Linked DNA regions of Ovis aries. The protein of the gene in region 1 interacts with the protein of each later gene in a pairwise test. Links are inferred from orthologs where the notes say so. Each region holds a gene or a part of one and is shown in the gene's direction. Other genes may lie near its edges.

Region 1 (4,487 bases):
ACAGGTGAGGGACCAGGCCCCCAGCCAGCTCATCCTGGCCTGGTATAGGGCTGCCCTGTCCACCCTATGGGCCAGAAGCCTAGGGCCTCACTCACCTCCTGCTCTGAGTCCGTCCCTGACAGCTTCTTGTCCTTGCCTTTGCTTCCCATCCCACCGTTCTTCCGGCCACTGCTGCCTGGCTTCCGGCCCCTTCGGGAAGGTACAGTACATCTGCCCACAGGTCTCCCCACTCCTTCACCACTCCCCAGCCATCCCCAAGTCCAGGGGCCTTGGCCTTCCCCACCTGGACACTGGTCCCTGGCACCCTACCTGCGGGGACCCTTGTCCCCATCCATGTGGTTGTCTTCTCCATCCCCCTGCATGTCAGGCACAGATGCCACCAGGTCCTTCAAGAAGTCAAACTGCTGCTCCAGCTCAATGCACTGTTTCCTGGAAGAAGTGGGAAGGGGTTGGCACTCGGATGAGGCCCAGACATCTGGGCCCTCAACAAGGGACAGTACGGACTCTGTGGATGTCAGGGGAATGGAACCTGGAAAATTTCCACCCCAACCCTCCCCCTTGGCCAGAACATCCTAATCCTCCTCCTCAAATCCACAGATCTCACAGCAGCCTACCAATTCCTTATCAGGGCACAGCCTCCCCCAGGCGTGTGAACTGGAGGAAGACCCCCAACTGGGCCCTCTAGGATCGGAGCCACTCACAGGTGGGATGTAGTCATGGTCTTGGCGTTTCGGGACTGGGTAACTTGGCATGCTTTCTTCAACAGAGACTCCAAGAAAAGCTCGAGCGCCCGAGCTGAGGAGGGTCAAGGAGAACGCAGGGTGGTGGCCCAGTCCACAAAAAGCGACCCCGGGGCTGCCGGGCTCCCCCACTCCCCCATCCCGACAGCTCCCGACAGGATACAGATGATGACAGGCACGGCCGCCGCCACCTTCCCAATCTCTTCATCCGTCTGCATGATCTTCTTGATTCGTGCCTGGGGAGGGGGCAGACAGCTCGGACCCCGTAGCCTCCGTCCCAGAAAGGGTGCTTAAGCCGGGCAGAGAGAGGGAGCATCCCGGGAGAAAGGGGGCGGGGGGCACCCACGCTGGAAGGGCACGGAAGGGGGCGGGGCGTACGGGGCCCCGAACACGGCGATGCGCCCGCCTCCCTAGTCCGGCCTGGGCCGGAGCTTCCCGAGAGCCCGGCCCGTTCCTCTGGGGCCCGCTCACGTGCTCACCGGCGGGAACCGCGCGTTGTACTTCTTCTTCTTGCTCGGCATCTCGGGGCCTCTCCCGCCGCGCCGGACCCAGCGCCGCCGCCCGCAGCCTCCCGGCACCCGGGCCTGCTCTTAGCCCGTCCGCCGCGGTTCCCCCGGGTCCTGGTGCCGCCGGCTCCGCCCCCAACGCTTCCTACAGGGTCCTAGCGCCGCCGGTCAGGACGCCGCCGGCAGGGCCCGAGCGCCCTCCCCCTTAGAGCCTCCCGGGCTTTGCGCGTCCGTCCGGGGCGGAACCGCCACTCCCGCCCGCCCCCAAGACCTGAAGAGCGAACGTTAGCTCCGCCCCCCAAGGCCCGCCCCTCCTCGCCTTCCCTGATGGCCCCGCCCCCATGGCCCCGCCCCTTCCCGGCCCCGCCCTGTGCTGCGTTTGTCTATAAAGTTCTTGTTGAGGCGCCGGGGTACTAAGATGGCGGCGGCGGCGGCAGCCGTGGCGGGGGCGGGGCGCGGCGGTGGCAGCGGCGCAGATCCCCGGCAGGAACGGAGCCGGGCCCGGGGCTGGCCCGGCGCCGAGCGCAGCGAAGGCCGGAGGTGACGCTGGGGTTGGCGGGAGGGGGCAGGACGGGGGCGCAGCTCGGGCCGTGGGCACTAATGGCGGCGGGCGCGGCGGGGCGGGAGGCAGGCTCTCCTGCAGCCTCTATCCAGCCGGGGTTCGAGTCCAGGCACCGCCCCGTTGGTCTCGGATCGGACACTGCCCGTTTCTCGCCTCAGTGCCCTCGTCTTTAAGTAGGTTGGATAACGCTCGCCCGGAGGCCTGGCCCCATGGGCCCTGCCTCGGTGCGGCGAGGACGTGTGCTTTGCCTCCCTCCATTAAATCCCAGCGCCCGGGAGAGCGGCCAGGCTCTGGCAGGGCCAGGAGGCGTAGCTGGGCCGGCGGTTCCCGCATTTGAATTGCCGTTTCGGCCCTATCACTCACTGAAGGTGTGACCTGCAGTGAGCCCCTTCTCTCTGAGCTTCGGTTTCCTCGTTTGTAGGTCAAGGAGAGCAGTAATAACACTAACTACATTTATATAGCTTTTGTTCCACCTCAGGCGGTTAATTCTGCACAACTGCTTGAGGCAGTAACAAGTTGTTATCCATTGTGGAGACGCGGCAGCCGAGGCCCAGGCCCACACCGTTCAGTTCAGTGCCTGGCACCCCCTGCTGCTGCTGCTGCTGCTGCTGCTGCTGCTGCTAAGTCGCTCCAGTCGTGTCCGACTCTGTGCGACCCCATAGACGTCAGCCCAACAGGCTCCCCCGTCCCTGGGATTCTCCAGGCAAGAACACTGGAGTGGGTTGCCATTTCCTTCTCCAGTGCATGAAAGTGAAAAGTGAAAGTGAAGTCGCTCAGTCGTGTCCGACTCTTAGTGACCCGTGGACTGTAGCCTACCAGGCTCCTCCATCCATGGGATTCTCCAGGCAAGAGTACTGGAGTGGGGTGCCATCGCCTTCTCCCTGGCACCCCCTAGGACTCAGCAAGTTGAGTCTGTCCCGGCCCTGCCCTGATTCGGTTCCCTCCCGCAGGATGGAACCAGGTGAGGAGCTGGAGGAAGAGGACTCTCCAGGTGGTCGTGAAGATGGCTTCACTGCTGAGCACCTGGCTGCAGAGGCCATGGCAGCCGACATGGACCCCTGGCTGGTGTTTGATGCCCGCATGACACCTGCCACAGAGCTGGATGCCTGGTTGGCCAAGTACCCGCCGTCCCAAGTTACCCGCTATGGGGACCCTGGCTCGCCCAACTCTGAGCCCGTGGGCTGGATTGCAGTGTATGGGCAGGGCTACATCCCCAACTCGGGTGATGTGCAGGGCCTACAGGCCGCCTGGGAAGCTCTGCAGACCAGCGGGCGGCCCATAACGCCTGGTACCCTGCGCCAGCTGGCCATCACCCACCAAGTGCTCTCTGGCAAATGGCTGATACACCTGGCACCTGGCTTCAAGCTGGACCACGCCTGGGCTGGCATTGCTCGGGCTGTGGTTGAGGGCCGGCTGCAGGTGGCCAAGGTGAGCCCACGGGCCAAGGAGGGGGGGCGGCAGGTCATCTGCGTTTATACGGACGACTTCACGGACCGCTTGGGTGTTCTGGAGGCAGATGCAGCCATCCGTGCGGCAGGCGTGAAGTGTCTGCTTACCTACAAGCCTGACGTCTACACCTACCTGGGCATCTACCGGGCCAACCGCTGGCACCTCTGCCCCACTCTCTATGAGAGCCGTTTCCAGCTGGGGGGCAGTGCCCGTGGCTCCCGTGTGCTGGACCGTGCCAACAATGTGGAACTGACCTAATAGGGCCAAATGAGGGAGATGGCCATTGCCCCCACTACTGGGGCTGGAGCCTCCGCCTGTCTTCCCTCTCCTTGTCCCATGGAGGTCGAGCCCCTCCAGCTCTGAGGACTGGGTCACTCGGGAACTGCCTGCATCTTCGATCCCTTTGAACTTCTGTCCTGTGTTTGGGCTGACTCCAGTCCCTGCTGGCTGGAGGCAATGGCTCCGTGAGGGCTGGACCCTCAGCCTCTCTTCGCTGCTGCCTCCCCTCGGTCATCCAGAACCACAGGCGGGGTGCAGACGCCAGCAGGAGAACCTTCCTTGGCCACCCTCATCCCTGGCTGCACCTCCCCCTCCTCCTGCTTCCTCCTTTTCTCTTCCTCTTTCACAAGAGAGAAAACTAGTGCTTCCAATCCCTCTCCTCGGGGCCTTCACAGTGCAGGGGGCAGAGGTCCTGCGGGCCTGAGCATGCCATTTTGTTGGCGGAGAGTGGGTAATTGCTCCCACTCTGCCCCCAGCACAGAAGGGGGATGCCAGGGCCAAGGACACAGGGCCTGTCCCTGCCACCTCACAGCCGACACCACCTTCTTCCTTTCTTTGGCTCCCTTGTCACACGCGTACTTCTGGCATTTCAATAAACCCAGCCTGGGTCTGTGTCTTGAGTGTTTTTTACAATACTGTGTTGGTGGTTACCTGCATTGGTTGGCGGAGAGAGGCAGGGCCAGGAGAGACTGCCCCCTGTGTCCTGATTGCCTTCAACCGCCAAGCTGGGAATGTCTCTGAGAGCCTCTTCAAAGTCAGTCCTGTCTCACCTCCATCCCAGGAATCACAATCAGTTGTTCAGTGATTTCCCATAAATTCAAGGACTTGGCCCAGTAAAGTCTGAGGGACTGCTGCTAGCCCACAGGGTGTGTTCGTGCCCGTTAAGAGAAAGGTACCTCCTTGGTTCTGCCCTGCTTCTCCACCAGGGCACATGGTCCAGTGAGTAGAGGG
Region 2 (3,710 bases), on another chromosome or scaffold:
CCTGCAGGAGCTTAAACATAGAGGGCAAGCGCATTTGTTTAATTGTGATCTTAAATTTTTATTGAGAGCGAAAGGTTGTGCTGTTAAAAGGTTATCTTAAGACAATTCGCCCCCTTCCCCAGTGACTTTCAGTTAAATACAAAACAAAGTAAGGCTTAAGGTTCTTAAAAGTCCATTGAGAAAATGTTTTTCACACTGAAGACAATGGCAGCTTACTCTAATTTTAAATGAGATGCAGTTCACTTGTGTTGGTAATTATTTTAGCGGATGCACAGAGGACTTGGGGGGAAGCCCTTTGCAGCTGTAAGAGGTGTGGGTTGGATGTGTGGTTCCTGCTCTCTGACTCCCTCTTTGGGAAGGGAGTGGGCCTGATGAGAGCTTTGGTTACACAGAGGTGCTTTGCTTTTAGAATGATACACACCTGAATGGCAGCAGAAACTGGAAAAAGGGGAGTGGTCACCCAGGGGTGACTTGGTGTTTTTATTTTGTCTTCAAATCTAGCTGTGTGTGTGATTTTGCATTCTAAATTGTAACTTCTAAATTTCAGGGTTGTTTTTTTTTTTAACAACTATAGATTATAATCAGAACAATAAAATGTGCTTTGAGTTTTATTTTAAGCCTTGTTAGGATACAATCTTACTGACTTCTCCTACAAACTTAAGAATTTAAACAGCTTATTTAATTTTTCTCTCCTAAGATTCTTTTTTTTTAATCTTCTACGATTAAAAAAGTCTGTCAGTGTTGAAATTGCCCAGCAGATTCACATTTAAACCCGTTTTGAGTGCACTTGATCTCGGAAAAATTTCTGATGCTGGACAAACTGAGGCATTTTAAATGGAGCGCAAACAGTTCACACAGCTGTATAATCAGCTTTGAGACAGGAGTATAAAAAGTCCTTTGTGGTTCTCTTCCTTCCACAGGTTTCAGGGATGACTTCTTAGGAGGCCGGGGAGGGAGTCGCCCAGGTGACCGGCGAACAGGCCCCCCAATGGGAAGTCGTTTCAGAGATGGCCCTCCCCTTCGAGGGTCCAATATGGATTTCAGAGAACCCACAGAAGGTATGATGGTGACATGTAAACGGGCGGCAGGAGGGCGCCTTCTCGCGACGCCTCGGTAAACCGCGCTGTGTTTCCCTCCCCCAGAGGAACGAGCACAGAGACCACGGCTCCAGCTTAAACCTCGAACAGTCGCAACACCCCTCAATCAAGTAGCCAACCCCAACTCTGCCATCTTTGGGGGAGCCAGGCCCAGAGAGGAAGTCGTTCACAAGGAGCAAGAATGAGCTTGTGGTGGGGAGGGAATGGGGGTGTGGGGGGCGTTCGCGCGAGACCACAGCCTGGCTCGCCCCCCGGACCGGCAGTCCTGCAGTTACCATTCCTGCGCCTGACCTTTGTCCTCCTTTCTTACAACGGAAACACAGAGCTTGTGAGTGCATGTCAGCAGTTAACAAGTGGTTTTTAGTACATTCTTGGCTTTGCTGTATCTGCCTAGTGCCTGTTTTGTGCTTTTTTTCTTCCCTGCCACTCCTTTCCCCTTTCCCTTCTGTCCTCCTCCCTCCCCGCTCCTTGTCTCCTTCCGGCACACGAGTTTCTCTAGAGGGGCAGAGGCGGCGCCGTGCGGGAGCTCTCTGGGTTGGAGTGCTGCGTTTCTTGCCGTTGCTTTCGCCTTTTACTTCTGCCGCACTGGCCTTTTCCTTTGCCTTTTCTCACTGCTTCTCTTCTGACCTGCATGTCGAGTTCTGTATTGCTGTGGCTTCCGAGGAAGAAAGCAAGTCCCACGTTGGATAGCCCCTTGTTTTTAGTCAGCTGGGATCAACAGACAGCCTTTGGGACACCTTGCTTTCAAAACAAGGATAAAGTATCTGTTGATCTCTGCAGATTCCTTCCTGTAACTATTTATAGGTAGTCCTGACTCCACTACCCGCTTCCCAGATGGGCTGTTCACGCGGAAGAGGCTCACGTTTCAAACAGCAGAACCTGAGAGAATGGTGTGAACTGTCGGTGGGGCGTGCACGCAGGAGGCAGACTCAGTGCCCTGCTGCGCTCGCGTGTTTTTATCACTCTTCCAGCACTGTGTCCAAGCTGGTCTCCCTCGGGCACCAGCCGTGCTAGAGGCCCCTCTGTGGCTGGATGTGGTGAACTGCCGTCCAGCTTCCTCTCCGCTGGGCACAGAGGTGCTTTGGGGGCCGCAGGGGGCGGCGCTGTGCTGGGCTCACCCCTGTGTGGACGCGGCTCCCTCTCAGACCCCCACTGTGTGTCCTGCCTCACTCTGTGCTTCTCTGTCCCCCAGCATTAAGTCACAGTGAGAGCCTGTGCTTCCCACCGTCCCTTAATTTTGGAATGAAAATGGGCCTAGGATCTGGCACTTTACTCTCTCACTTGATGAACTGAGAATTTGACTATGCAGAGCTGTCAGGTAACAGGGAGGTGGCCCAAGGTCACCAGGTCTCAGCTTCAGGACGTTCACTCCCACATAGAGTGTTCAGCTCGCACCCAGGGCCGGGCAGCTAGGCAGCAGCTTTTGAGCTCAGACACCTATGTGTGAACACATTTTTCAGCACCCGAGTCCCAGTTCATCCCACTGGGAGCAGTCCGGGCTCGGCTAGAGCCCCGGAAAAGAGAGACCCTCACCAGCAAGACTGGAGGGCCGGGGCAGCCGGGCCTGGGCGGCGCGCTTAGGAAACAGCTCCTCGTTAGCTGCCGCCCTCGGCTTCTCCCTGTCCCCAGGTCTCAGCAATCCACAGAACTCTGCCTCCTATCCTTCCTTCCACCTGTCATCTTTGCTTCTGAGATAAGAACCATTTGTGTAACACCAATACTTACCTAAAGAAAGACATGCATTATGTGGTTGTAATCAAACCTGATGCTTTCAGATGACCTACTTACATCTTCAATGTGGAAAAGATTAAGAACAAAACAAATTCATCTAAACTTCTGGGCAATCCAGTTGACTTTTAAATGTAAGAATGGAATTCCAAACACTTAACACATTCAGCTATATGACGACAGAAAGTAAATCTATGGATATGGTATTTTGTGAATGATCTTTTAAATAAAAGAAAACCTTACGTAATATTTAATGCTTGTCTTTATTTTTTTGAGTTTTTTAGCTGTTCATAAAACTAACAATTTTATATTTGGAAAGTCATGTCCAAATTTAGTAGGATGTCCTGTTCAGTGGGCAAAGCCTCTTGCTTTCAGAAGTTACAAGATTTGTGAGCTTATTTTAGAAGCTTGTAATGATTAGAAATGGAATGCCAATTTTTCTCTTTTTTCCCCCATAAAAATAGGTTTTGGTTGGGTAATCCTGGGTGTGCCCTCATGTTAGTGCTGGGTGCTGCTTCTCGGCAAGCAGATTGTATGTTGAGGAGGTGCCGCTGGGTAGTTTGCTGGTTTCTGTGGCCCAGTGGGCAAGGTGCAGGGCTGCAGACTATATTCGGGAGAGGCCCGACTGCTGGGGAAGGGGGTGAATCGACTTACCTTGCGGTCGGAGCCTGACTGCAACTTAATCTGGAGAAATGAGCGGGGAGGGTGGGGGTGTGTGCCACCAAGTGCCTGAGCGACTGTTGACTTCAGTTGCTCCCCAGCAAGAGGACTTGATTTCAACTGGTGTTTTCGTTCAGAGGGGAGCGTGAGCATCCCTGAGGCTGAAAACCCCCTGCCCAGAGTTAAGCAGGTGGGACTTGGTCTCCTGGAGGGGTTTCCTGGAAC

The links.
Region 2: the proteins of C21H11orf68 (region 1) and EIF4H interact in binary tests that used the Homo sapiens proteins (3 or more experiments, as listed by UniProt). The two-hybrid records come from large-scale screens. The link is inferred for Ovis aries from reciprocal best matches to the Homo sapiens genes C11orf68 and EIF4H.

What each region holds. Positions count from the first base shown.
Region 1 is NC_056074.1:40,461,892-40,466,378, reverse strand, and holds C21H11orf68 (UPF0696 protein C11orf68 homolog), read left to right. Parts: upstream 1-1,642; 5' UTR 1,643-1,664; coding exon 1,665-1,786; intron 1,787-2,269; exon of another isoform or gene 2,270-2,511; intron 2,512-2,758; coding exon 2,759-3,515; 3' UTR 3,516-4,150; downstream 4,151-4,487. Other genes in the region: DRAP1 (dr1-associated corepressor), read right to left, coding at 96-189, 310-429, 702-795, 904-976, 1,220-1,261.
Region 2 is NC_056077.1:33,653,788-33,657,497, reverse strand, and holds the end of EIF4H (eukaryotic translation initiation factor 4H), read left to right. Parts: intron 1-920; coding exon 921-1,058; intron 1,059-1,142; coding exon 1,143-1,282; 3' UTR 1,283-3,074; downstream 3,075-3,710. UniProt on the Homo sapiens protein: Stimulates the RNA helicase activity of EIF4A in the translation initiation complex. Binds weakly mRNA.